3 linked regions of the Oryctolagus cuniculus genome follow. The main gene of each other region encodes a partner of the protein of the gene in region 2 in a complex. Links are inferred from orthologs where the notes say so. Each region holds a gene or a part of one and is shown on either strand. Other genes may lie near its edges.

Region 1 (4,353 bases), about 23 Mb from region 2:
ATGCGTGTCATGGAAAAAAGAACTATTTGTGAATTTTAACATTTTTGTGATAATATAAACTTATCCTTTGACTAACTTTCCATGAACTTTTTGAAGTACTCATATTCGTTTGTCAGAGCTACCATGACACAAATACCACAGATTGGGTTGTCTTAACAGAAATTAATTGTCTTGCAATTCTGGAGAATGGAAATCCATGAGAAAGTGAAAAAGGTGTTAGCAGGGTTGTTGGCTCCTCCTGAAGCTTTGTGTTACCAGCCCAAAGGATGCCTTCAGCCTGTTTCCTCATATGGCTTTTGGGTGTGTCATCCCTGAGGTACCTTCATCCACTCATAAGAACACCAGTCTCATTGGGTTTTGGATCCACCTTATTGCCTCATTTAAGCTTTGTTACTTCTTTAAATGCCCCATCTCCAAATGCAGTGACACTGGGTTTGGAGATTCAACATATGAATTTGAGAGGAAATTAAACTCAGTCTGTAAAAATGCCTATTTCCTAAATGGCTATCATGCTCAGTGTAAAAAATCCAGAGTCAAAAACCATATACATGCTAGTTAGGAGAATGTATGCGATAGTCAGAGGATCAAATGCTAAATCTGTCACTGCCTAATTGTGTAGAGATTCATCAATTTTCCTAACTTCAGTGCCTCATTCCCTATCTGGTGTGACAGGGACAGTAAGAGTGCCTGCCTCCCAGGGTCATTGCCAAATGCCCATCAAGTTGGTAAGTTGAAATAAGAATTGCCTATTATTGGTGGATGTGTGGTTTTAAAGATAGTGTTACTCTTCTTTATTTTCTACATATAACAGGATGGGATATGTTGTGAGAATAAAATGTAACAAAAAAGATAGAGAAAATAAAATATTTTGAGAAATGCTAATATATGCTACTTTTTCTTAATTAGATTATCTTAGGTGATAGTAGTTGCAAAGGTAGCCTCCATATAAAGAAAGATATTCTATATTCTTAAATTTGTAACTTAATTCATTCTTACCAAAAAAAAGTCAAAATCTTTATTGAGCACTTACCGTGTGTCCAAGATTGTTCCCCAAGGTGTTGGGGAGCTCAGTGAACAGATAGCCTTTCTCCTGAAGCTTACCTCATAGAACTCAAATATGTCAGGTTCCCATTTAGCACCCACTTCAGGAATTGGGGAAAATATGACCTACCCTATGGAGGGGGAGAGGAATATTCATTTGGAGCATTATACTGCAAGTTGAAATTGATTTATCACGTGGTCAGAAAATACACAGACGCAAAACTAACACTGGGGTCCGTTGGGTGGAATCCCGCAGTGATCGCCCTGATCCCCAAGAAGCCAGTTTGGGCTTTTCCTGACCCTACTCCCAGGCATCAGGGCCAACCTGCCATTCAGTCCTTCATAGCGGCTGCAGGGGAGGCACTGGAGGGAGCTCAGGGCCGCCGGGTTGGGCGGGCTGCGCGGTCACCGCCGCCGCCGACGCCCATCGCCGGGTAAACTATGAGAGTGCACAGGTGCGGGTTTGGAAGCGTCGTTGCGCACCCGGATGCTGGGCGCCGCGGACCCTGCCTCTGCTCCACAGCCAGGAGCCCTGACCCGCAATTCCAGCGCGGTGGTCTCCCTCAGCACGAATGACTTTGGCTTCTGTTGGGTGTCTCCTGACCCACGTCACCAGTTTGACAGCCTAGCGCCAAATCAGAGGGCGGCGCTTGCCCGGAGTCCCGCGCGTCACCTGGAGCTCCCACAGATTAGAACTCGTCTCTCCTAGGTCCTCCCGCTCGGTCCCATTTACATCTCCCACTGGCTTTAACGCAACAGTTAAGAGCGGGCTCAGTTTGTGCCGCGTCTTCTTCCACTGCAACATGGTAAGTGAGGAGCTGGCATTAGCTAGTCCCTGGGGAAACCTGGGGCCTCTGAAAGCTAATAAACTTTGCTTTTAGAATTTATTTCACTTTGAGAGCAAGGTATCTCTGCTACCTGCTGCTTCAAACAGGTCTTGTGCTGCTCCGCTGGCTTTTACTGTCCTTCCTCTTCCCTCTGTCTCTCATCGTTTTACCCTCTCTGCTTCTTGTACATTCCGTACTTTTTCCCCCCACTTTTCACTTTCCACCTGCACTCACTTTTCATTCCAGCTCTTCCTCTATATTATGCACATATTTGCAAACACTTGGACTTGAACTACTCTAGGAGTATTTAGGGTTTGTTTTCTTCTCAGGTGTCAATTGCATAATAGCTTAACTGATTCCAATAATAACCTCAGGGAAGGAGTCTGCAAACATGCTTTTAGAATAAAAGAAAATACCTCTTGATAAACTTTTGGCTGAATTTCTTCGGTATGCAGTGCCCAAGCTGGACTGGCTTCAAAATTGGACTTTTTGAAAATTTAACTCATTGGGAACTTTTAAAAACTGTGATTTAATTGACAATATTTTTTTCCTCTTCTTTTTTGTTTCTTCGATTTATGTTATTCCCAAGAAAAGTCCAAAAATCAACAAAAGACTTGTAGTGGTCAAAAAAGGTGTGTTCAAAACTAGGCTCTGCTGAAGTGAATGGCTTTTACCTGACTAAACATTGACAAATAATTAAGAATGGGCTGTTGTACAGATTAACCCAGGACTGCTGTGTACCTGCCCCTACTTGCACATTTGGGAAGACTGTGTTTGAGGTTTGAGAAGAGGGACAGGAGGGTGTTCAGTGGATCAGAAAGAAGTGGATAATACATGCCAGTCTGTTAGCTGTGGTGATATAACTTTGGAAGGGCATTGGGCCCTAGTGAAGTAGACAGCTAGCACTTGCGGACATCTGACTTCCTTCAGCTTTGATTATGTGCTTACTTGGAGTGACTTTATGCCCCCTGTACTTGGATTTGGAGTTGGGAGGAGAAAATATAGACATATTTGTATCAGAGGTAGATCCAGTAGTATGTTGGGTGGAGAAAGGAAGAAGAGAAGAATCACACAAGTTAGTAAGTATATGGTTCAGCAACTAAAATGAGGAGGTTAGTCTATATGATGTTATGTCTTGTCCATTTTATCCTTGGGAATCTGGGTTCCTTTTTAGTCAAGGTTACTATAAATATAATTGAGATATTTAGGAGAGAACAAGTCATGTGTCTTTAAATCGTTAGTAGAATTCTTTTGTCTTCGCTTGTGGATAACCTGTTAGGTGAGCGAGGCATCACAACAAAGAATCTTCTTAGATATTTACACATGTGGTCATTCCAATACCAGTCTGCTCTTTGCTCATAGGGCATTAGAAAGTATTGGGTAAACTGAGGAGCTGATCCCACTTAGTGGTTTTACTTTGACAACTCAAAAATTGATCCAAATCTGCACTTAATGCTTTCACTGTTTTTTTTTTTTTTTTTTTTTTTGATTCACTGTATGTAATTTCTCCATGTTTCTCCCACCCTTTTCCCCATCACCTTATCTCCTGGGACCCCCACCCTCACAACCACTACTCATACTGATTTTCACAGAACACCATTCTACCTTGCCAAGATCAGTACTTTGTAGGAGGCCAGAGCTATAATTGCCCGTATTCCGCTACAACGTCAGAATCTAGTGTTGACGTTTCCACGGAGACTTGGGTCTCTTTCTGGGCTGCTGGTCTCCTGGACAACAGAGAGCCCCAACAAGCACCACAGGCACAGGGTAAGTTGTGCTCTTCTACTTTCCTCATAGATCTGGAGCCTTTTCCAGTGCCCGTAACTGCAATGCATCATGGGCTATGGATCCTGTAGAAGAAGGGATGATATGGAAAATTTAAGTCAGTTCATAGCCTCCTGAACTTCGCAGCTATAAATATGATTGTTTGTTCTTGACAATGAATAAAAATGGGATTCTATCCCTTGGCTTGCTAGAACACCATGTATTTTTCTCTATATTTTAAAATTCTTGGGGATTCCCAATTCACTGAGGGAGTTTGGGTCTGGGTCAAAGTTTTATAAACAGTACCTAACAGGGTGATTTTAGAGTGAATATATTAGTTGGAGCATTTTTAAGGTGAATTCAAGAAAGTTATTTTTTTTTAAATAGAGAAAACCAAGAACAAAGCCAAGCTTCATCTACTATTTTACAAAGGAAATTCTATGAACAGCTCCTTGTAAATGAAAAAATAAAATGATTCCTCTTCATAGAAAAATCATTTCAAGTTTGAAGGGATGTATAAATTGATGGGAATTTACATACACTGTTAATTCTGACCTGTTGCCTAGGGAAATATACTTGTAAGCTTTCATAGAATTTCTGTCTTAACAATCAGGTTTTTGGAAAAGTTTTCAGGTGCCTCAGAAATAAACATTGGTATTATTGATTCCACATGATTTCTTGGGAGAAGGCTCTAAGAAAAGACACAAAAATTCCTCCCGAA
Region 2 (3,936 bases):
ATTATATCTTTTGCTATGGTTTCAAATTTTCCTATTATTTTTTCTTTTATATTTTTGTTAAAATTGGTTCTTTTTTTTCCTAAAATATTTATTCATTTATTTATTCTATTGGCAGAGTGACAGAGAGAGTGAGTCTCCCTCTCTCTGTGTCTCTCTCTCTCTCAGATCTACACACACACACACACCCACACACACAGCAAGAGCAAGAAATATATATAGGGATCTTTCATCCACTAGTTTATTCATCAAATGGTCAAAATATTCAGAGTTGGGCTAGGGCAAAGCCAGGAGCCAGGAATTCATCATGTTTTCCAATGGGTGGCAGGTACCTAAGTCCTTGGGTCATCATCCACTGCATTCCTAGGAACATTAACAGGGAGCTGGATTGGAAGAACAGCAGCTGGAACTTGAACCTACACTTTGATATGAGATGCTAGCATTGTAAGTTGTCGCTTAATATGTTGTGCCACAATGCTAGTTCCATGTAGGTAATTTTTCTATTGATTTGTTTTCCAATTCACTATTTTTTTTTTAAGGTAACAAGTTTTTGGTTTATTTCAAACATGTACATGTAACTTAAGAGTTTGAGGCTTGCTCTCTGGTTTGACTCTCATCTTACAGAACTGTTATACACAGACATCCCTTTTTCATCAGCTATTATGTGTTTTTTTCACCCTGTAATTAATAAAAATTAGCACCTAACTCTCTATTAAACTATTTTTGGATACCTTTCAGGGTTACTGTATTTACTTTTCCTGCTGTCACATTTTGTACCCTAGTGCAAAAAAATAAAAGACCTCCTATTTCAGTGATCCAAAACTTAAGCATAATTAAGTGAACTGTTAATTTATTTTACTTTATCCGCAGAACACAGACCACCATTGGGAAACAAGAAAAAGCACCAAGTAAAAAGCCAATGAAAAAGAGAAAAAAGAAGAGAGCTGCTAATTAAAGCTAACATAGTTGTATATTTGTATATATAACTATTAGATGTATTTATTCAGTGCTAACAACCTGGGTATCATTTATTCACAAATCCCTAAGTTTTATTTTTTTAACATTAAAGTGAATGTTCTAGAGCTTTTTCTCTGAAAATTTTGTCATCTCAAAGCCTTATTCCCCAACCTGTGTATGTGTAAAGTGTAAAAATTGATGAGGAATAAAATAATCTGATAGGCTGCTGTGTGTGTACAAAGAAGAATGATTTTCATCGTACTGGTAAATAAGCACAGATTTATTGTGCAGAAATCGGCAGACTGATCCAGTTGCTTAGGAAAATGGATATTAGAACATTGAGGGTCTGTTTTCCTAAAGTCAACTTTTTAGAGAGTGGCTTTCCACTCCCCACTGTACTGTATAAGCCAGGTAACTTTTCTAAGAAATCTTGAAGTCAGGTTTTTATCTCAAATTAAATTTGACTTATAAAATTTTCCAAATCAATTTATTAATTCTTAATATCCTGACAGCTGGCATCATTAATACTTTTAACAAAACCACTTAAAATTAGCCAAATATCTATGATAGATACATGTACAAAAGATATACAAATTAAAACCATTTAAAAAGTAATAGATACCATAATTTGTTCTTGTCCATAACTTCTGTATTCAGAAATGATTGTAACATTCAAAACCCAAGATAAAAACTGTACACAATATACTTTGAGTGATTTACATCTTAGAAACAAATGCAGTCTTTCACTGTTAGACATTTAGTGTCTCTGGTGGGTTGAGGAGGGAAACACCATGATACTTTGAATTTTTGTACTTTTCTCTTATTGATTGTTGTGCATGCTGTGGTGCTTTGAGGTAGGTCTGGTGAAGGTCCATGAGACAAGGCTTAAGAGTCTCCAGAGTGTATCCAGTCTTTCGTACTAATGATTCAGGCCAGCTTTGTCCCGTGACTGTGTAGAGTGCTAAATGAAATGCTGCTCCAGCAATAACTGATGGCAGATACTTTAGGTATGGGTCAGCATCTATCAAACTTAATTCTCCCAAAAACATTGCTAAACTTTCGACTTTGCAGTTTGCAGGCTGCTGATGTAGAAAGTATTGGGTAAGAAACTGATTTACCGTTGGTGCAGCTAAGTCAAAAGCAAGGACTTTCAAAACTAGATGCTCCATTCTCAGAACTTGTTTCTTTGTATAGGTATCATCTGTAATGTATACAAACTCTGCTACTTCTGGTGGGTATATTTCTTCAAATTTTGAGGCTAGCAGCATAGCAGCAGTGCCCACAAGCTGAAGCTTTCCTCTCAACACAGACATTGAAGAAAGAAACCTATCGATGTAGTTCACCGCCAAATGCAGAGTCTCATTCTGTAGTTTATATTCCTCTCCTACTTCAACTAACCAGTCCACGAGGATAGCCCTCATACTGTTAGTGATGTCAGGCTGTTTCTTCATGTAACCCACTTTAGGTTTACATTTAACCTCCATTTCCCTAAGATATGTGTGAATATCCTCATGGTAGTCTGGGACTTCATTAACACTCACTGGCTTTTCATCTTCTAATACAATTGACATGTCCATAGTATATGGTGACTCGAAACTACCATCCATTGGCTAATCAAGAGGTACCAGTGGTTTTCTTTGTCCAGGTAAAGTGATGGCTGAATTAAAAGCCAGGACATCTTCAGGCTTGTCTTTTTTAGATTCCGTGGGCCTCTTGGGAGGCTCCTCTTCTGCTTCATCCACATGAATGGTGAATGCAGGCTGTTTACTGTTTGCTTTCCAAGGAGGAACAGAGACCTGCTCATCATTTATAGGAAGATCCTTAAGAGGTGCAACCCGTCGCGTCGTGGGCCTCTGTTGTGGAACTGGACCCCGGGAGTTCCCAGCCTTCAGTACCACCAGAGCAGCCTGGGCCCGCGGCTGCTGGGCGTGCACCGCCTTCTCGGGGTTGATGTTCTCCTGGTCCTCTAGGAGCGCCGAGCCCGCCTCGCCGGCCGCGGGCTTCGGCACGTTGTGGCCCAACATCGTTGCTCCAGGGAGCTGGCGGCGGGATCAGTCTGCCGAGCCAAGCAGCGTGCACACTCCGCCCAGTCGACCAGCGGCGCCGATCCCGCCCAGGAACGCTCCAGCCGTAGCCCCTCGCCGCAGCCCGGGCCAGTCTGCCAGCCCTCCCGCTCGCTCCCCTGTCTCCGGAACGCGCAGGATCGAGGAGGTTGCGAGAGGCGCAGGCAAACGCTGCCGGGCGCGGAGGGCAAAAAAAAATCCAATTCACTATTGCTTCCTCTTTCTCTCCCATTCCACTGTTGAGCCCATTCATGGAGTTTTCAAAATATTAGTTATTGAATATTTTATTTCAAAATATATTTTCTTCTTTATATATTCTTTTCTTTGGCTAAAACTTTATGTTTTTTATATTTGTTCCAAGTATATTCATGATTATTGTGGAAGTATTTTTATTGTAGAGTCTACAAAATCCTTGTTAGACAACCCTGAGTGTCAACATCTTTAGATCATGTTTTCTCACTCTAATTGAGAATAGCCTAGTTTTCCTTTTAACATAAGTGATTATTAAAATTAAATTCTTGATATATTAGTGATTAATATTGTGAGACATTTGATCTCATTTAAATATTTGATATGGCAGGATCCTATGACGCTACTCCAATGGGGAAAGGACATCATCTTATTATCAGCAGCTTGGCCTCCATTGACACTGGGGAAGGGGTACTCTTTATAAGTGTGGGGCAGTAGTAGAAGACAAGACTCTCCACTATGTACCTACTAATACTACTCAGGCTGGATGTGGAAGAATTGCCTCATTACTGATCCCCATGTGGCTTCTCTGACACTTTCAGGGGATGGTTTGCCTTGTTACTTTTAAGATTAGCTGAAGTCGTAACTCTGTATTTGGTCTTCTCGGACATCCATCCAGCAGGGAAGGAGAGGGGCACCTCAAAATCTCCATGTCATACCAGGGGATTCC
Region 3 (4,000 bases), on a different chromosome or scaffold from region 2:
AGTTTAGGAAGTGATCTCAATGAGTGGCTTAACCCTGTAGTTCAGTAAGCACTTAGCAAATATTCTGGAAATCACTAAAATGAACACAGTAGTCTTAACTGAAAAAGCTCCTTTGAAGGACAGGCATCTTATCACTGAGAAAAAGGTTGAGGGCTACCAGTCCAAGAGGTGCACTTATCTAAACTTACCCAGACGTTTTCTGGGGCTCAGAGGCAGAATTTTTGTGCAAGGAGAAGAGGGCAGAGTGTGCGCATTTGCTGGTTCTACTTTGACGTCACCAGGGTTTTTACTTTTGTCTACTGTCCGAGAAAACTTCTTCTTTGGAAAACTGATTTTAGCCTGTGCCTGGGATCGGGTTTGAGGCATGATGGCAATACTGCTAGAGACAAAAAAAAGAACACGTCAGCCAGTGAACATGTGAAAAGGAAAAATACCTAACCCTGAGTTCGCTTATACCGATGATCAGCACTCATTTCAGAAGCAAACAATGTTATGAAAACGTTCAGTTCTGCTCCACATCCCAGCCTGTGTGGTAACAGCTACCCTGTGTTGTGTAACACGTTGTCATGCATTCCTTACGTACTAACTCGCTCGCCGAGGGGTAGGCCCTATTATCATCCTCATCCAGCAGATAAGAAATGAGGTGCACAGAAGCCCAAGTGGCCGAAAAGTCCGACACGCACGGAACCCCGGGATTCCGGCCCCGGTGGCCCACAGCCGCCGCCGCCGCCGCACGGTCTCCGGAGCCCTCGCACCGCCGCTCGTCCGTCCGCCTTCAGCCCCCTCTCACCCTGCTCTCAGCCGCAGCCGGGAACTTTTCCTGTCCGCAGCTTCAGCTCCCTCACACCACGCACAACTGCTAGAGCCACTTCGAGGGTGCACCGCCCCGCCCCGGCCCCGACTTCGGATCTCCCGCGATCTCCCTTCCCTTCCCCTCACTGTTTCTCGGGTCTCGCGGAAACCTCAACCTTCGCGCAGCTCCCCAGACCTCAGTCTCCCGAGCAATCTTCTCCTCTCTCAGGGCTGCGTCACCTCAGTGCAGGTTCCTCACGTCCCTCACACACCGCCTCAGACTCCACCACCGTTCCCGGCCAAACCGAACACCAGCAGGCAGCAAAATACAGACGCGCTCGCGCCAAATTCGCTCAGCTACACCGTTCCCGTCTCCCGCCAAAGCCCGGCTACGCCTTTGATTGGCTGCAGCCACAGCGCCGCGCGCATTGGCCTCCGCCTCTTCCTTCGTTATCCAAGCCAATCAGAAACATCACAGCCAATAAGAGCGCCCCAGGTCTCAGGCCGAGAGGCCACGCCCACTAAGAAGGCCCGGCACGTACATCCGGGGCTTCCGCGGAAACCGCGCAGTTGCGGTGGGACGCTAGGCGTTGGGCGGGACCACCACGCCGCAAAGCCCGCCGGGAGGGGTAGTCTTTGCTTGGGGCACTGTACTTCCGCGCTGTGCGCACGGGAGGAGTCAATGTGGTTGTCCCTGCTCACCTACGCCTTCTATTTTGGGGGTGGTTCTGAGCTGAGGCATGACTCCTCTCTAACGCTCCACCCTACAAGGCACGAAGCAAATCCTGTGCTCTGGGTTAGAGGTCACAGCATGTTGGTAGCAGGGGCTGCCTAAGACTGGGATCTCCCGACATCTGAACGAGTGCTTTTTTGGTAAAGTTCTATATAAAGAACATACTAGACTTCATCACTACATCTTTTGACTTCAAATGTGGTAAATGGGACTCTTTGCTTTTATTTAAAGAAAATTTGTGTTAGATTTTCTGTATTATTTAACCACCACTTAATTGTGGGAAGTAAAATTATGGCTCCTTATTCTTAAAACCTTTTATGGCTAAACACTAGGGTTTCAGGGCCAAGAAAGACAATTACAGAAGAGGCAAGCTGAGCTTTTAATGAAAAATCTAAATTAGAGCAGTAATTTGTAGGCCAGCTTTCACAGCTAATAACCCTTCTAAATCTCAAACTCCTTTAAAAGCGAGAAAACCCAACTCTAGGTGATGGTAAACATTTATCTTTTATCCTTCAATATCAGATAAAATAGCTATAAAACCGGGAAATAGGAAGGCAACAATATTAAAACCATCAGTCGACTGTACTTATAGTACAGCCAATATCGAGTGCTTACATGTATTCCAGGGACAGAGCTCAGTATGTGGATCCACCACCTCATGAATCTTCACAAGCACCCTACGAAGTTGATGTTATTTCATTTAACAAACGAGGAAACCAAAGCAGAGCGAAGAAACCATGTAGATTTGAGTAAACTTGCCTGAGAACATAAAATTAATAACTAAAATTTGAACTCTTAAGTTCTGATGGGAATTCAAATTCTTAACCACTTAATCATAAGGAGAGCATTAGACAAATGCAGGTTTTGAAGAGGAAGAGACGGAGTACATTTTGCGACGGCTTCCCGGCAGATGAAAACTATGCAAGTGAAAAGTGATTAGGCTGCCATGAATAGAAAAAGCTACCATAGAATTTTTGTCTTTTAGGCTTTTCTAAAAAAATTTTTTTTAATTTGTAAGGCAGGGTGATGAGAGAGATATCAACCTTCCACCTGCTGGTTTACTCCCCAAATGGCCCCAACAGCCAGGCTGGACCAGGCTGAAGCCAGGAGCCTGGAATTTCATCTTGGTCTCCCACATGGGTGGCAGGGATCCATGTACATGGGTCACCTTCCACTGCTTTTGTAGGCAGGAAGCTGGATCAGAAGTGGAGCAGCTGAAACTCCAACTGTGCCCCTATGGGATGCAGTGTTGTAGATAGTAGCTGAAGGCATTGTACCACTAAGCCAGGCCCTTAACCCTTAAGGTTTTTTTTTTTTTTTTTTTTTTTTTTTTCTTAATAGGACAATAGAACCCAGGAAGTAGTTTTCACTTTTCTAAGCTGGGACCCTAAAAACTGTCCTTGATAACCTGAAACAGTAATGTATGCCCAACCCATGTTAAGGGTTGGTGGCAGTGAACAGCCTACCTCATTATGGGGGTGGGAGGAGCACAGGAATTTAAAACTTACCACACATATTTGAACCTATGAAAATGCCAGGGACTACAGCACTGGCCCAAACCCTGCAAGAGTAAATGACCACTGACAGAGCACAGAACCACAGAAAGGTCTGAGCAGTTATCCACTGGAAGCTTTCTTTCCACAACTGACCCTCCAATGACATGATGTGCACATCATCATGCTGTTACTTCTGTGCTTTTTGATGTTTCCTGCCTAGGATGTCACCATCCTTCTTTGGTTAACTCCCAATAAAAGCCTTTTAATCCACCATATGTTTCTCCTTGTAGCGATCCTGAAATCTATTCAACCATGAGCTTCTTGGAGGCAAAGATCATGTCTTACTCTTCAAATTGTAGGTACCTGGTACAGTGTAAAGTATACAATAAACATAAATGCCATCCTTTGAATCTCACACCCCTACATCTAGAAGTGGAAATGAGTTCTGTGTAAAATGTTTCAGACTGAGGCAAGGTCTGGGGTAGTTGGGATCCTGAAGTTGACATTTTAGTCCCTTCCCTTTTTAAAGATTTATTTATTTTATTTGAAAGAAAGCAAGACACAGAGAGAAATATCTTCCATCCACTGGTTCACTCCCCAAATGGCTGCAACAGCTGAGGCTAGGCCACGAACTCCATTTGATCTCCCATGTAGGTGGCAGGAACCTAAGTACTTGGGTCATCATTAGCTGCCTCCCAGGTGCCTTGGCAGGAAGGTCCACTGGAAGCAGAGTGGCCGGGACTCACAACGAGGCACCTCAATACAGGATGGAGGCATCCCAAGTGGCAGCTTAACCTGCTACATCACAACACCCGCCCCTACATTTCAGTTCGTTAGCCTCTGTCTGCAGAGTATGATGATGTCAAAGACATGCAACTTCCTCCCAGTGAGTCAGAGTTCATGGCTGGAATGGGTGTGAAATACTTAAGAGGCACATTCACGGAAAGCAGTTGTGCTTCAGTAGTAATTAGAGTGAGCA

What was found. The genes of interacting proteins can lie anywhere in the genome.
Region 1: the proteins of cyclin-A2 (region 2) and GMNC are in contact, whole or in part, in a cryo-EM structure (PDB 9HIU), measured with the Homo sapiens proteins. The link is inferred for Oryctolagus cuniculus from reciprocal best matches to the Homo sapiens genes CCNA2 and GMNC. Residues at the interface, in NP_001228.2 of Homo sapiens: Met210, Ile213, Leu214, Asp216, Trp217, Glu220, Val221, Glu224, Arg250, Leu253, Gln254, Tyr280, Ile281, Thr282, Asp283, Thr285; in NP_001140158.1 of Homo sapiens: Asn165, Ala166, Lys167, Arg168, Asn169, Leu170, Ser171, Glu173, Phe174, Ala175.
Region 3: the proteins of cyclin-A2 (region 2) and CDC6 are in contact, whole or in part, in a crystal structure (PDB 2CCH), measured with the Homo sapiens proteins. The link is inferred for Oryctolagus cuniculus from reciprocal best matches to the Homo sapiens genes CCNA2 and CDC6. Residues at the interface, in NP_001228.2 of Homo sapiens: Met210, Ile213, Leu214, Trp217, Glu220, Val221, Glu224, Tyr225, Arg250, Leu253, Gln254, Glu277, Tyr280, Ile281, Thr282, Asp283, Thr285; in NP_001245.1 of Homo sapiens: His89, Thr90, Leu91, Lys92, Gly93, Arg94, Arg95, Leu96, Val97, Phe98, Asp99, Asn100.

The regions. Positions count from the first base shown.
Region 1 is NC_091435.1:88,641,325-88,645,677, forward strand, and holds the start of GMNC (geminin coiled-coil domain-containing protein 1), read left to right. Parts: upstream 1-1,506; 5' UTR 1,507-1,844; coding exon 1,845-1,847; intron 1,848-3,460; coding exon 3,461-3,635; intron 3,636-4,353. UniProt on the Homo sapiens protein: Regulator of DNA replication. Promotes initiation of chromosomal DNA replication by mediating TOPBP1- and CDK2-dependent recruitment of CDC45L onto replication origins.
Region 2 is NC_091435.1:65,355,102-65,359,037, forward strand, and holds cyclin-A2, read right to left. Parts: upstream 2,562-3,936; coding exon 1,704-2,561; 3' UTR 524-1,703; downstream 1-523. UniProt on the Homo sapiens protein: Cyclin which controls both the G1/S and the G2/M transition phases of the cell cycle. Functions through the formation of specific serine/threonine protein kinase holoenzyme complexes with the cyclin-dependent protein kinases CDK1 or CDK2.
Region 3 is NC_091448.1:22,183,948-22,187,947, forward strand, and holds the start of CDC6 (cell division control protein 6 homolog), read right to left. Parts: upstream 2,848-4,000; 5' UTR 1,033-2,847; exon of another isoform or gene 989-1,032; intron 960-988; exon of another isoform or gene 940-959; intron 380-939; 5' UTR 367-379; coding exon 189-366; intron 1-188. UniProt on the Homo sapiens protein: Involved in the initiation of DNA replication. Also participates in checkpoint controls that ensure DNA replication is completed before mitosis is initiated.